Linked DNA regions of Lepisosteus oculatus. The protein of the gene in region 3 purifies or fractionates together with the protein of the main gene of each other region. This does not show direct contact. Links are inferred from orthologs where the notes say so. Each region holds a gene or a part of one and is shown on either strand. Other genes may lie near its edges. The genes, in order: tsen34, clp1 and tsen2.

Region 1 (3,747 bases), on a different chromosome or scaffold from region 3:
TCATCTGAAAGGCCAGCCTGTGCACACTTTCCAACAGCACCCTCGTCATCGGCGGGACCCCGGGGCGTCCCTCCGCACCCCACAGGAGCCCCCTCCTCCTCACCGCCGCCCCCACGCCTAGACCATGCCGCTCCACTGCAGGGAGGTGTAGACGACCCCCCCGCTCTCGCCCGGGGAGCACAGCAACACGGTCTTCTTGACGTTGGAGCCCAGCCGGGACAGAGCCAGGAGGTCGCTGAGCGGCGTCTCGGCCTCCGGGGGAAGACACACGGCGATGAAGTGAGCGTGGAAGCGCAGGGGGTCCCCTGGAGGAGAGGCGGACAGGCACTCTGAGGCGCGGACACCCCTCTGTGCGCGCGGTCTCGCGTGACGCAGCACAGGAGGGTCCGACCCCGGTCCAGGAGAGCCCCCACCCAACGGGTTTCACAGCTCATCGCGAAATCACCGGCTTCTACAGGCCTGCCACAGGCTAGCCCTGACCAGCCACTTGTTAAATTAAGCAATTTAGAGATCGTTAACGAATCATTTGCCTTCATCGAATACGTTACTTGCTTATTTGATTACTTCCGGGAGTTCCCTAGGAGATCAGTCACTCCAGGACCGGAGTCGGAGGCTCCCGGTGAATACATACCTGGATAGACGAGGTAGTCTCCTCCAAATTTGCCGGCGGGCGTGACGTAGTAGCCCCGCCGCCGCAGGTCCCGGTACACCCGATACCGCGCTTCCGTTCTCTCGTCGCGCGGCTGGGGCCAGTCGGCGGCCATCAGGAGGCGCTCCTCCGGCTCGTACCCGAGTCGCGCCCTGGCGGTGCACAGCTGCACCGCCGTCGCCGCCTCGGGGAACGTGAAGGAGCTCTCCAGGGAGCTCAGCCGATCCCTGAGTGGCAGCTCCGCGCCGGCGGCGCCCCCGTCTGGAAGAGGAAGAAGGGTCAGAGTCCCAGAGGGCCGAGCGAGCGGGCCAGAGAAGGGAAGCCAGCTCCTGCCGCGGTCTGGGCAGCGTGGAGCTCCGCGGGGGCCGAGGAGTCGGCGGAGCTCAGCTGCTGCCCCTGCTGGCACTCGACCACGCCCGCTCGGCCGCACAGCGCCGCCCCCTGGACAGCAGCGAAGGCGCGGGTCCTTTTCTGCCGCGGCACAATTCGACACGGCAGCCGCGAGGAGCGCCGGGAATCGATCGCGGTCAGGAGCGGCGCGAGACTGGGGCCGGCGCACCCAGCAGAGCTGAACACGGCCTGGGCTTCAGACGGACAGTCCCTCCCGTAACCGGCTCAGCGTGCCTATCCCCGTTCGGCGGAGGAGATCGGCACCCCTTCCACAGGCAAGGACGTTCCCCCCCAGCTGCCCGCAGACAGCAAGGCGAAGGAGTCTGGGACGGGGGAGAAAGACAGACTGGCATCTCGGAGCGAGTGTGACATGAACAACCCCTCTGAGCTGGGAGGCTGCCAGGAGAGGTCGGCCAGGCAGCCCCAGCTTCGTACAACCGCTCGGCGTACGCCTCACTGCAGCCCTTTACCCTTCTGTTTCTGGTTCATCACTCTCTGCAACACCTGCTTCCTGTCCTCCAGGGCGATCTTCTTCTGCTCCAGGAAGCTGTGCTGCAGCCTCTCTCGGTATCTCTCCACCTCCTCTGCCCTCACGCCATCTTCAGCCTGGAAGAAAAAAACTTCCTACCTGACGTTCAAACTCAAACTCCGGACCCCCATCTGGAGACTCGGGGGGCACTCGCATGAGGAACTATTCTGAACAAGGTCACAGACTTTCACTTATTTCAGACAAAGTCAATACAGACAAAGACTTCAATAGCAAGAGAGGCAGGGGGTGAGGCAGCCAAATCCAGTTATTAATAATAATCCTTAGACTTATGTAGCGCTTCTCTGGACACTCCACTCAAAGAGCTTTACAAGTAATGGGGATCCCCTCCACTACCACCAGTGTGCAGCCCCACCTGGATGATGCTCCAGTCCTCTCCCCACACACCAGCTCTCAGTGGGGAGGAGAGCAGAGCGATGAAGCCCGTTCAGCCAGTTCTTAAGAGGAAGCCAGTTATTAAGAGGCCAATGACTGGTAAAGGCCAGGTGAAAATTTGGCCAGGACACTGGGGTTACACCCCTACTCTTTTCAAGAAACTCCCTGGGATTTTTAAAGACCACAGAGAGTCAGGACCTCGGCTTTACGTCTCATCCGAAGGACGAGGGGCATTAGGACCCACACAGACTGCAGGGTGAGCGCCCCCTGCTGGTCCCACTAACACCTCTTCCAGCAGCAGCCTCAGCTTTCCCAGGAGGTCTCCCATCCAGGTACTGACCAGGCTCACACCTGCTGGGCTCCAGTGGACTGCCAGCTGGGAGTTAATTTACAGCCAGTTTATATATCAGTGTACCCCATGTACAAACTGGCTATAAATCATTATATAAACATTCTTCTCGTGCTAGAAGAGCCAAGATGAATTAAACCAGATCTTCCCCGTCACTTGGTCACCTATCAAGCTGACACAGCCAGAGCCTCTCACCGCGGGGTGTCGGGAAACGGAGGCAGGAAAACCCAGGACGGCGCTCACCTCCGGCGGAGCTGCGGTGACCAGCACGGCGCGGCCTGTGTCCCTCAGCAGGCGGGCCTCCTCCGGCAGCAGCTGGGCCGGCCGGCCCAAGCGGAGGTTCTGGCGGGGCTGGCGGGCCAGGGATCCGATGAGCGTGCCCACCACCCCCGCCCGCTCCCGGGCCCCCCGGACGTCGGCTGCCCTCCACAGCAGAGGAGTGGAGCCGCAGAGATAGACCTGGGCTGCCGCAGTTCCCGTCTCCAAACCGGGCTCAACCGGAAGCCTCTCCTCTTCGGACCCGGGTTCGGCTGGCTGTTTGCATCTCCCGTCCCCCCTAGTCTCTGGCTCACTTTCAAACCCCGTCTCTCCTGGGTGTGCGGCCATGGGGTACACAGCTATATTATTTCATCTGTTCCTCTGAAACTTTTTCTCCCGTTTCCTAGCTCCGTTTATCTCCGACCAGCAGCCTTCACGGAGCGTGCATAACTCATCAAGCAGCGGGTTTTCCCTGCTATGTGCCTTCGGACTTGAAACTCAGTCTGCAAATCTGCAACCCTTCCTCGCTCGAGTCCGACAGTGCAATGGAAATCTTGAAGAGACACGTTGATATTATAATCTTAATCAGAATATTTAATAAAATAACCCTGCTGTACTGTGGTGTCTAGTACTTGTTACTTTGTTATGCAATATTCAACTTGGACAGTTCTTAATTTAACGCACGCGTTGTATTTGAGTGTAAATAACTTGCAATCCGGAGCATCTATCTAAACAGACAGCTCTCCACGTGCACATTACGCTTTCCCTAGAAATACTGGATCTCAAACTGAGGTTAAGCTGCTTAAGCAGAAGTGGAACATAAGCTCTAATGCAAAACCCTAGCTGTTATCTCTATTTAACGGCGAGAGCACGAAACCTCTAACTGGTTTTGCTCACCCGGTCGGAGGAACACGACTCGATCCCATTTCAACTCTAATATGGCAGCCTTCGGTCGTCTCCGGAAGGGCTCGGGCGTTTCCGGCGACCTGGGGGCGGTTCCCATGGACGCGGTGACGTCAGTCAACATGGCGGCCTCCTCGGCTGGGTCTGATCAACTCTTTTCTTAATGTTTTCTTAATAAAGAGGTAAGTTGTATCTTTAAGGAACAGGTAAAGGTTTATTCTAGGAAAGGAAAACGTTTCGGTTGTGGAGCCTTCTTTGGAGGTGTCAGACCGAGTT
Region 2 (3,747 bases), on a different chromosome or scaffold from region 3:
GGTCATTCAATTCAGTTGAATTTGTACAAAATTTCACAAAGGACTGGATGCCCTGCTGTAGACACAGCGCCCCTTCCAGGACCAGGACTGGACACCCTGCTGTAGACACAGCGCCCCCTCCAGGACTGGACACCCTGCTGTAGACACAGCGCCCCCTCCAGGACTGGACACCCTGCTGTAGACACAGCGCCCCCTCCAGGACTGGACACCCTGCTGTAGACACAGCGCCCCCTACAGGACTGGGACTGGACACCCTGCTGTAGACACAGCGCCCCCTCCAGGACTGCACACCCTGCTGTAGACACAGCACCCCCTCCAGGACCAGGACTGGACACCCTGCTGTAGACACAGTGCCCCCTCCAGGACTGGACACCCTGCTGTAGACACAGCACCCCCTCCAGGACCAGGACTGGACACCCTGCTGTAGACACAGCGCCCCCTCCAGGACCAGGACTGGACACCCTGCTGTAAATGGGCTCCTGAGGGCCTTTCAGTATCAGCCCAGACAACCGCAGAACAGGCTGGTGTACCTCAGTCTTGCCAGTGAGGCTGACGGTGCAGCCCTGCCAGGTGAACACTGCGATCTTGGAGCCGGGCCCAAAGCTGTACTTCTTGTTGCGGTTCAGTTCTGACCCAAACACCTCAGCCAGACCAGAAAGCAGCTCCATCTGCACCCGCTCTCCGGACTCCACCTCGAACCGCAGCTCCGTCTCTCGCTCCAACTCGAAGCGCACACCAGTACTCTCATCACTGCCCCGCTCCCCTTCTGCGGTCATCACTGAGGGAGAGAGAGAGACTGACTGTTCACTCCAGGACATTAACACTGCACTGAGAGAGAGGGGTTAATACAGTCCAGACACACTGACTGGACACTCCAGGACATTAACACTGCACTGAGAGAGAGGGGTTAATACAGTCCAGACACACTGACTGGACACTACAGGACATTAACACTGCACTGAGAGAGAGGGGTTAATACAGTCCAGACACACTGACTGGACACTACAGGACATTAACACTGCACTGGGAGAGAGGGGTTAATACAGTCCAGACACACTGACTGGACACTACAGGACATTAACACTGCATTGAGAGAGAGGGGTTAATACAGTCCAGACACACTGACTGGACACTACAGGACATTAACACTGCAATGAGAGAGAGGGGTTAATACAGTCCAGACACACTGACTGGACACTACAGGACATTAACACTGCACTGAGAGAGAGGGGTTAATACAGTCCAGACACACTGACTGGACACTTCAGTACATTAACACTGCACTGAGAGAGAGGGGTTAATACAGTCCAGACACACTGACTGGACACTCCAGTACATTAACACTGCACTGAGAGAGAGGGGTTAATACAGTCCAGACACACTGACTGGACACTCCAGTACATTAACACTGCACTGAGAGAGAGGGGTTAATACAGTCCAGACACACTGACTGGACACTTCAGTACATTAACACTGCACTGAGAGAGAGGGGTTAATACAGTCCAGACACACTGACTGGACACTACAGGACATTAACACTGCACTGAGAGAGAGGGGTTAATACAGTCCAGACACACTGACTGGACACTACAGGACATTAACACTGCACTGAGAGAGAGGGGTTAATACAGTCCAGACACACTGACTGGACACTACAGGACATTAACACTGCACTGAGAGAGAGGGGTTAATACAGTCCAGACACACTGACTGGACACTACAGGACATTAACACTGCACTGGGAGAGAGGGGTTAATACAGTCCAGACACACTGACTGGACACTACAGGACATTAACACTGCACTGGGAGAGAGGGGTTAATACAGTCCAGACACACTGACTGGACACTTCAGTACATTAACACTGCACTGAGAGAGAGGGGTTAATACAGTACAGACACTGGACAGAGACAGACCTGAAGAAGGCGTGACACCCATAATGTTATTTTTTCAACTGTTCAGAGTGAAACTAACCTCTAGTTTTAACTTTGTAGCCAAGATTTGATCCTGCTCAATAAACATCAGTGAATGCAGATTCTCCAAGGGTGTTGTTACACGTATACGAGTAACTGATACGTGTTTTTGAGTTCAACTAGACACTTCGCGTTCTGTCTCCGTCCGCTCACGTCAATGTACGTGGCTCATACAACTTACTGCAGCAATAAACCCATTCACAAGAAAACATTCCTATAAGTCACGGAAAGACCTCGTCTTTTCACTTTATGTAACTGCAGTTCCGTTCACAAAAACAAGGTACAGAGCGAGTGTAAATATTTTTTATACAGATCCTCGTCCCCGGCTCCTCTACAGCCACCTATGACTGGAGTAGGAAATACTTATGGTTCCAGCGCAGGCGACAAGAATCAAATATCTGGCTGCTTAGTTCTACATGATATCGACCAAGACACTATTCCATAATTTACAAGCGAAAGGTCATCTTTGGTATGCCTAAAAACTCTGGATTTCTCAATTAAAGATAATCAAAATGTAACTTGAGTTCAGTAAAGACAGGTCACGATTAAACGCAGCGTTTATCTAGTCAACATTTTAATAATTTCTATGACTTGAATGATACTTGACAGGAAAGCAAGATAAAAAACCTGTATAACAATCATCTGAAAAGTACTTATAAAATATCAATAAATCAAATCTTACTTCATGAATTTGCCGTTAGCGCCCCACGCCGCTGTTTAAAAACAACCGAAGAGCACCTCGAGCCACCTTCTGCAGCACGTTCCGTCGCATGATGATGACGACACACACAAAGACCAACCAGTGTTCAGAGGCTGCTGCAGGTTGGTGTTGAATTTAGAAAGTGGATTTGAGTGTTCATGCTAGTCAGGCGTGCTAAATCTTTCTTGTGTACTACAATTTTGATAACCTTAAATAAATAAATGTTGAGTTAATGTTGGTAACCTCTTCATAAGGAGTAGTAAACACAAGTATGCTGAGGTTGCGAAGTAATGAAATAGAAAAACTTCTCTACATTACACTAAGTACAGTGTTCTGAGATCTGTACTTTACATAAATATTTAACTTTCAAGTTACTTTAACGTTTAATTGAGAAAAACGGTTTAGAAAAGGCGGTACTCTACTACATTTCCCAGAAGGCTCTCCGTAACTCGTTCAATCTGTTTGGATGACGTTGCCACGGGCTCCAATTCTGATTGGGCGAACAAGAGACAGAAGTGCATGCGCAAACGCTTTGTTTGCTTTCAGGACGCCCAACCGCGTATCGTGGTGTTTTTGAAAACAGCCGCTCAGCAAGCGGGAATGCAGCAATGGTGCACACGTGTGTCTTGCAGTGATTAGTTCTGTGTATATGTATGCAAGTTATATCGAAGGCGGCAGTGAGCGGCATCGGTCACCCTTGGCCTTACCTCAGAGATCTTTTTCAATGCCTTTGTTTACCACTCAGACTGCGAAAAACACGCAGCCGGAATGGCTGCTGCTAGCTGTGCCAGCTGGACTCTCAAACCCGAGAGGATCAAGCTGACCACTGAGGTCAGTGGCCCCCTGGTAGAGGCCCTTTTATGAGACCAGCAGCAGGCGTTTGTTCTTGAAGATGAGCAAAATGTTCATACATAAACATTTTTATGATTGGTCAGTAACAGTTTGTTAGAATATAAGGTATAAACAGGGACGTGGGCGAATAACCCAGACCCCTGTTCCCTTTCATGTTATTAACCCCAGTGTAGCACAGACGAGTTACACCTCCACTCAGGAGAGCTTGGGGAAAGCTAGGCCA
Region 3 (3,747 bases):
TGCCACTTGTCTGAAATGTTGTACTCGGGTCTGCTCCTTGATAAGATACCTTTCCCAAAATAACCCTACAAAAACAAGCAGGAAACCATTTTTAGAAACCAATCGGATGAAAAAGTAATCAGAGAATATAAACATCGTACACACCTTTCCATATAAGGCTTGTATATCCTCGGGATCTCTCACAAGGACATGCTGGTTTACAATCTCAGCTCTGTAGATCCTGCATTCCTTATTTTGTCCTTTGTCTGCAGAAACTGTCACAGGGAATGGACCCGCATAGGACTCGTAAACCCTGGCTCGTCGTTTAGGCGCCTGAAAGACGGCTTCTGTCATCTCACAGTGCTTCTTGACTAGAGACCTAGTTCAATTCCCTTGCAGACTGATGTAGGATAACAGGAAATTAAAAAAGCAAACATTAAAGTGTTGCACAGGTTATTATTTACTTGGTGCTTTCATGATATGGAGAGCTCTAGAACACGTTTTCTTACGATACACATCAAAGGTACTTCCTTCTTATTTGAAAATAGTTGTAAGCTACTGTGTATACTGTACCTCACCAGTACGCAAGAATATCATTTATTTATAAACAGTTTTCACCAAGTTGAAATGATCTCATCAGAAGCAAAGCACAGACATTTCAATGGTTTTAAATGCATTTCTGCGAGTATTCTACTTAAAATATTTTTCCATTTTAAATTTACGATCAAGCTGTGTTCCGCTTACAGCCAGTCATTGTATCCTCGTATCAGATGCAATGAATGAAACTGATAGACATCCGTAATAAGCAAAACATAACTGACTTTGTTCCTTGTACTAATACAAAAACACCGAAAACCCAATGCAGCACATTCTTACAGCTTCGTAAAGCTACAGTTCACTTACACGTTTTGTAAGCGGGTCCTCAGAAAAAAATACATACAGTACCAAACGTAACTTACTCTGCTACACACGTGAGAAATATGTGCTACACAACATTGTATCCGATCGGAAACGTGTAGTTCTGTAACTTGGTTCCTTTTTATAAAGCAATTTACTAACAAAAGTTTAAACAAAGGCCAACAATTTTAGCCCTTGGTAAGACAAACAGCAATACATTGGAAATGGGGGCCGTTTTTGGTGATACCTCTAGTCTAGAACACGCATGGTATTCTGATTTCCATTGTTTAAGGGATGCCTAAGTAATTGAAATACGCTACATACGAAGACACTTAAAATGTAGTTGTTAAAATTCACTCAGTATATATAAGCCACATACGTATAAACGAGTAAACTTATTTTATCACAGCTAATGTAAAAAGAAGTTTAAAGCACTTTGATTATTCAACTGAAGATACAGTTGTTACGTGATATATTCCGAAACACTGCGCCGCCTTGTGTTCGAATAAAGATTTATTCTAGAATTGCACAGAAGTATTTTGTAAAATCAGACTGTTTAAAAAAACATCAAATGCGCACGATAAAATAGAGGTTCTGTACAATAATGTACAGCTGTACTATGGTCTGCCTGACGTTTAAAAAAAAGTTTCAAACAAATCGAAAAAACTTCGTTTATATAGATCATATCTTCACATTACATATCTTAAGGAGTCTCATCTCAGTTTACTTAAGACATGGAGACATAAATTAGACTTAAATAATAAAAAAAAACATAATCACTAACACTAGGTTAGGGCACCTTTATAGTTAAATGAAATTATATTTCGAATTTAGCTAATGAGTGACCTGTGTACAGTAGTTTAACTGTTGTTGCAGGCTTTCGTGAGTCACCAAGGTGGGTACTGCAGTAGTTCAGTATGGATGAATTTAAAATACCTTGTGATCATTGGGGAAGAAAACCGCTGTGCAAAATAGGAGGAAATATTTTGTATATGGTTTTACCACTTGAGCGAGGACCATATGGGTAATACACGTTTCCTTTACATGACTTAATTCATAGCGCCTATTGCCTCAGCTTTCAAGAGACCGCCTGTTGATCTTGTGACCTGGGAAGTCGGAAATTGTACCAGACGCTTCGCTGAACGCGTGGTTAACTTTACTGTCGGCAGCCTGTCTCACCTAGCCCTCTGCAGTGAAGTGTTGGCGGTTTGTCAGCAGTGGGCAGATGTGATGGTGACTGGCATCTCTGCTGGTTTGAAAAAATAAAATGCGTTAATGAGCAAGTACAAAGTGTCACTTTCTTTGATAAGTACCGCAAAAGAGAAGGGAAGTTTTGTTTTCCAATAATAGCACCAATGTCTCTCACGTAATAAAAAACCAGACAGTCAAGATGTATATATATTTAAAAGCAAAGGATGTAGATATTCAAATGTAAATGCACTTTAGAAAATCTATTGTTCTTGTTACCTCCCACTATATTATCGACAAGACGCTGTTTTATTTAGTTAGCTGAGGACTCCATTTCCATTTCCATTCTTTTAGAAAGTCCCAATCTTTTTTAAAATGTTTAAAACCTACCTTAAAGTCGACCTCAACCAACTTCAACATTCTTAATTTAAACTCATTGCTAAAACAATCATTTAGGAGGAACAAGGTCTAAACTATTTACGAATGTTCACCCACCGGCTCATTGCGAATGTCTTCGTCTGGTCCTGCCCGCTTGAAACTCCCCGTCGTCCTACTGTAGGTCTGCAGTTCGGATTGATCAATTAACTGTCGATGGATCTCCAATATCAGGCTGCATCAGACCCTGCAGTTTTGCACAGCTGAGCGGTTATACTGTAGCTGCGCTTCAAAAGCAAGGCAAGACTCGGCCAAGCAGCTTAATCGCCTGCCCCGCTCTCGCCTCCCTCTTCGCCTATCCAGGGTCTGCTCTCGGTGTATTTGTCTCACATTTTCCAGCGGTACCATCTATATCTGCTACTGTACATGGTCTCATCTAAAGCACATTTACTATAGACAGGAACTCAATACTGTTTGCTGGAACACAACGTGTAGTCAAACTACGAGGCAGTAATTCACATCGTGTATGTATCATTACATGCTCATCAGGTCCCGCTCGTACCTTTGAGCATGTTCGATGTCAGGTCAATTAACAGAAATGCTAATGTACAAAAAACACATTTATAATTATTTTTTTCAGTACACATTTTTAGGTAGATGTATGCATAGTGTTGTGTATATATCCACAGTTTGTATGTCCTATACCATTTCTTCCTCTTACTTGGGTCATTCTATGTCTGTATGAATATTTTTAAGTGAAAAGACAAGAATTGAAGTGTGCAGTGACCGCAAGTTGTGTTGATCGGTTTGTTTGTCATCACTAAGCCCTGTCTGTGCCCAGCTAGTGTACGAAAGAGCCAAAGAATTTGATTACTCAGCCTCGAAATAAATTGTTGTCTGACCTCCCATTTCACAAGAACAAGTTTATGATTTAAGAAATAGGAACCCCAACTAGAATCCTGCTGGGATATCAGGCTTTCATAACAGCCACAGGGAAAAACAAACAAATCATGGAGCTACCATCAGGCAGTAAACTGTACTAAAAAACAGGTTCCAACATTTCATCTCAGCTCCTCATATGCTCTCGAAGATGAGGAATGCTTTCAAAGAAGGAGTTGTCATTTTGTTATGGCACCCTGCAGTGAATTGTGTATATCTTTTAATAGCAGTGATGTCAATCCAATGATTATATGAACATATTTTGTTTCTATTAGTTACAATAGGATTTTTGGCAATAAAGATTTCGCTCTCGAAAATGCCATTTGAATTTCTTATATTAGGCTTGTTAGACTCCCAAAATGATTATAC

Evidence for each region.
Region 1: the proteins of tsen2 (region 3) and tsen34 purify together in Homo sapiens (affinity purification with mass spectrometry; 3 studies listed by BioGRID and IntAct, counting the BioPlex papers as one, with this or other methods). This does not show direct contact. The link is inferred for Lepisosteus oculatus from reciprocal best matches to the Homo sapiens genes TSEN2 and TSEN34.
Region 2: the proteins of tsen2 (region 3) and clp1 purify together in Homo sapiens (affinity purification with mass spectrometry; 3 studies listed by BioGRID and IntAct, counting the BioPlex papers as one, with this or other methods). This does not show direct contact. The link is inferred for Lepisosteus oculatus from reciprocal best matches to the Homo sapiens genes TSEN2 and CLP1.

What each region holds. Positions count from the first base shown.
Region 1 is NC_090708.1:2,598,888-2,602,634, reverse strand, and holds the start of tsen34 (tRNA-splicing endonuclease subunit Sen34), read right to left. Parts: upstream 2,917-3,747; coding exon 2,554-2,916; exon of another isoform or gene 1,646-2,553; coding exon 1,510-1,645; exon of another isoform or gene 911-1,509; coding exon 632-910; exon of another isoform or gene 306-631; coding exon 118-305; 3' UTR 1-117. UniProt on the Homo sapiens protein: Constitutes one of the two catalytic subunit of the tRNA-splicing endonuclease complex, a complex responsible for identification and cleavage of the splice sites in pre-tRNA. It cleaves pre-tRNA at the 5'- and 3'-splice sites to release the intron.
Region 2 is NC_090701.1:41,819,873-41,823,619, forward strand, and holds the start of clp1 (polyribonucleotide 5'-hydroxyl-kinase Clp1), read right to left. Parts: upstream 2,756-3,747; 5' UTR 2,656-2,755; coding exon 2,655-2,655; intron 779-2,654; coding exon 531-778; intron 1-530. UniProt on the Homo sapiens protein: Polynucleotide kinase that can phosphorylate the 5'-hydroxyl groups of double-stranded RNA (dsRNA), single-stranded RNA (ssRNA), double-stranded DNA (dsDNA) and double-stranded DNA:RNA hybrids. dsRNA is phosphorylated more efficiently than dsDNA, and the RNA component of a DNA:RNA hybrid is phosphorylated more efficiently than the DNA component.
Region 3 is NC_090699.1:62,258,969-62,262,715, reverse strand, and holds the start of tsen2 (tRNA-splicing endonuclease subunit Sen2), read right to left. Parts: upstream 2,747-3,747; 5' UTR 2,560-2,746; intron 2,123-2,559; 5' UTR 2,056-2,122; intron 1,023-2,055; exon of another isoform or gene 883-1,022; intron 380-882; 5' UTR 334-379; coding exon 145-333; intron 66-144; coding exon 1-65.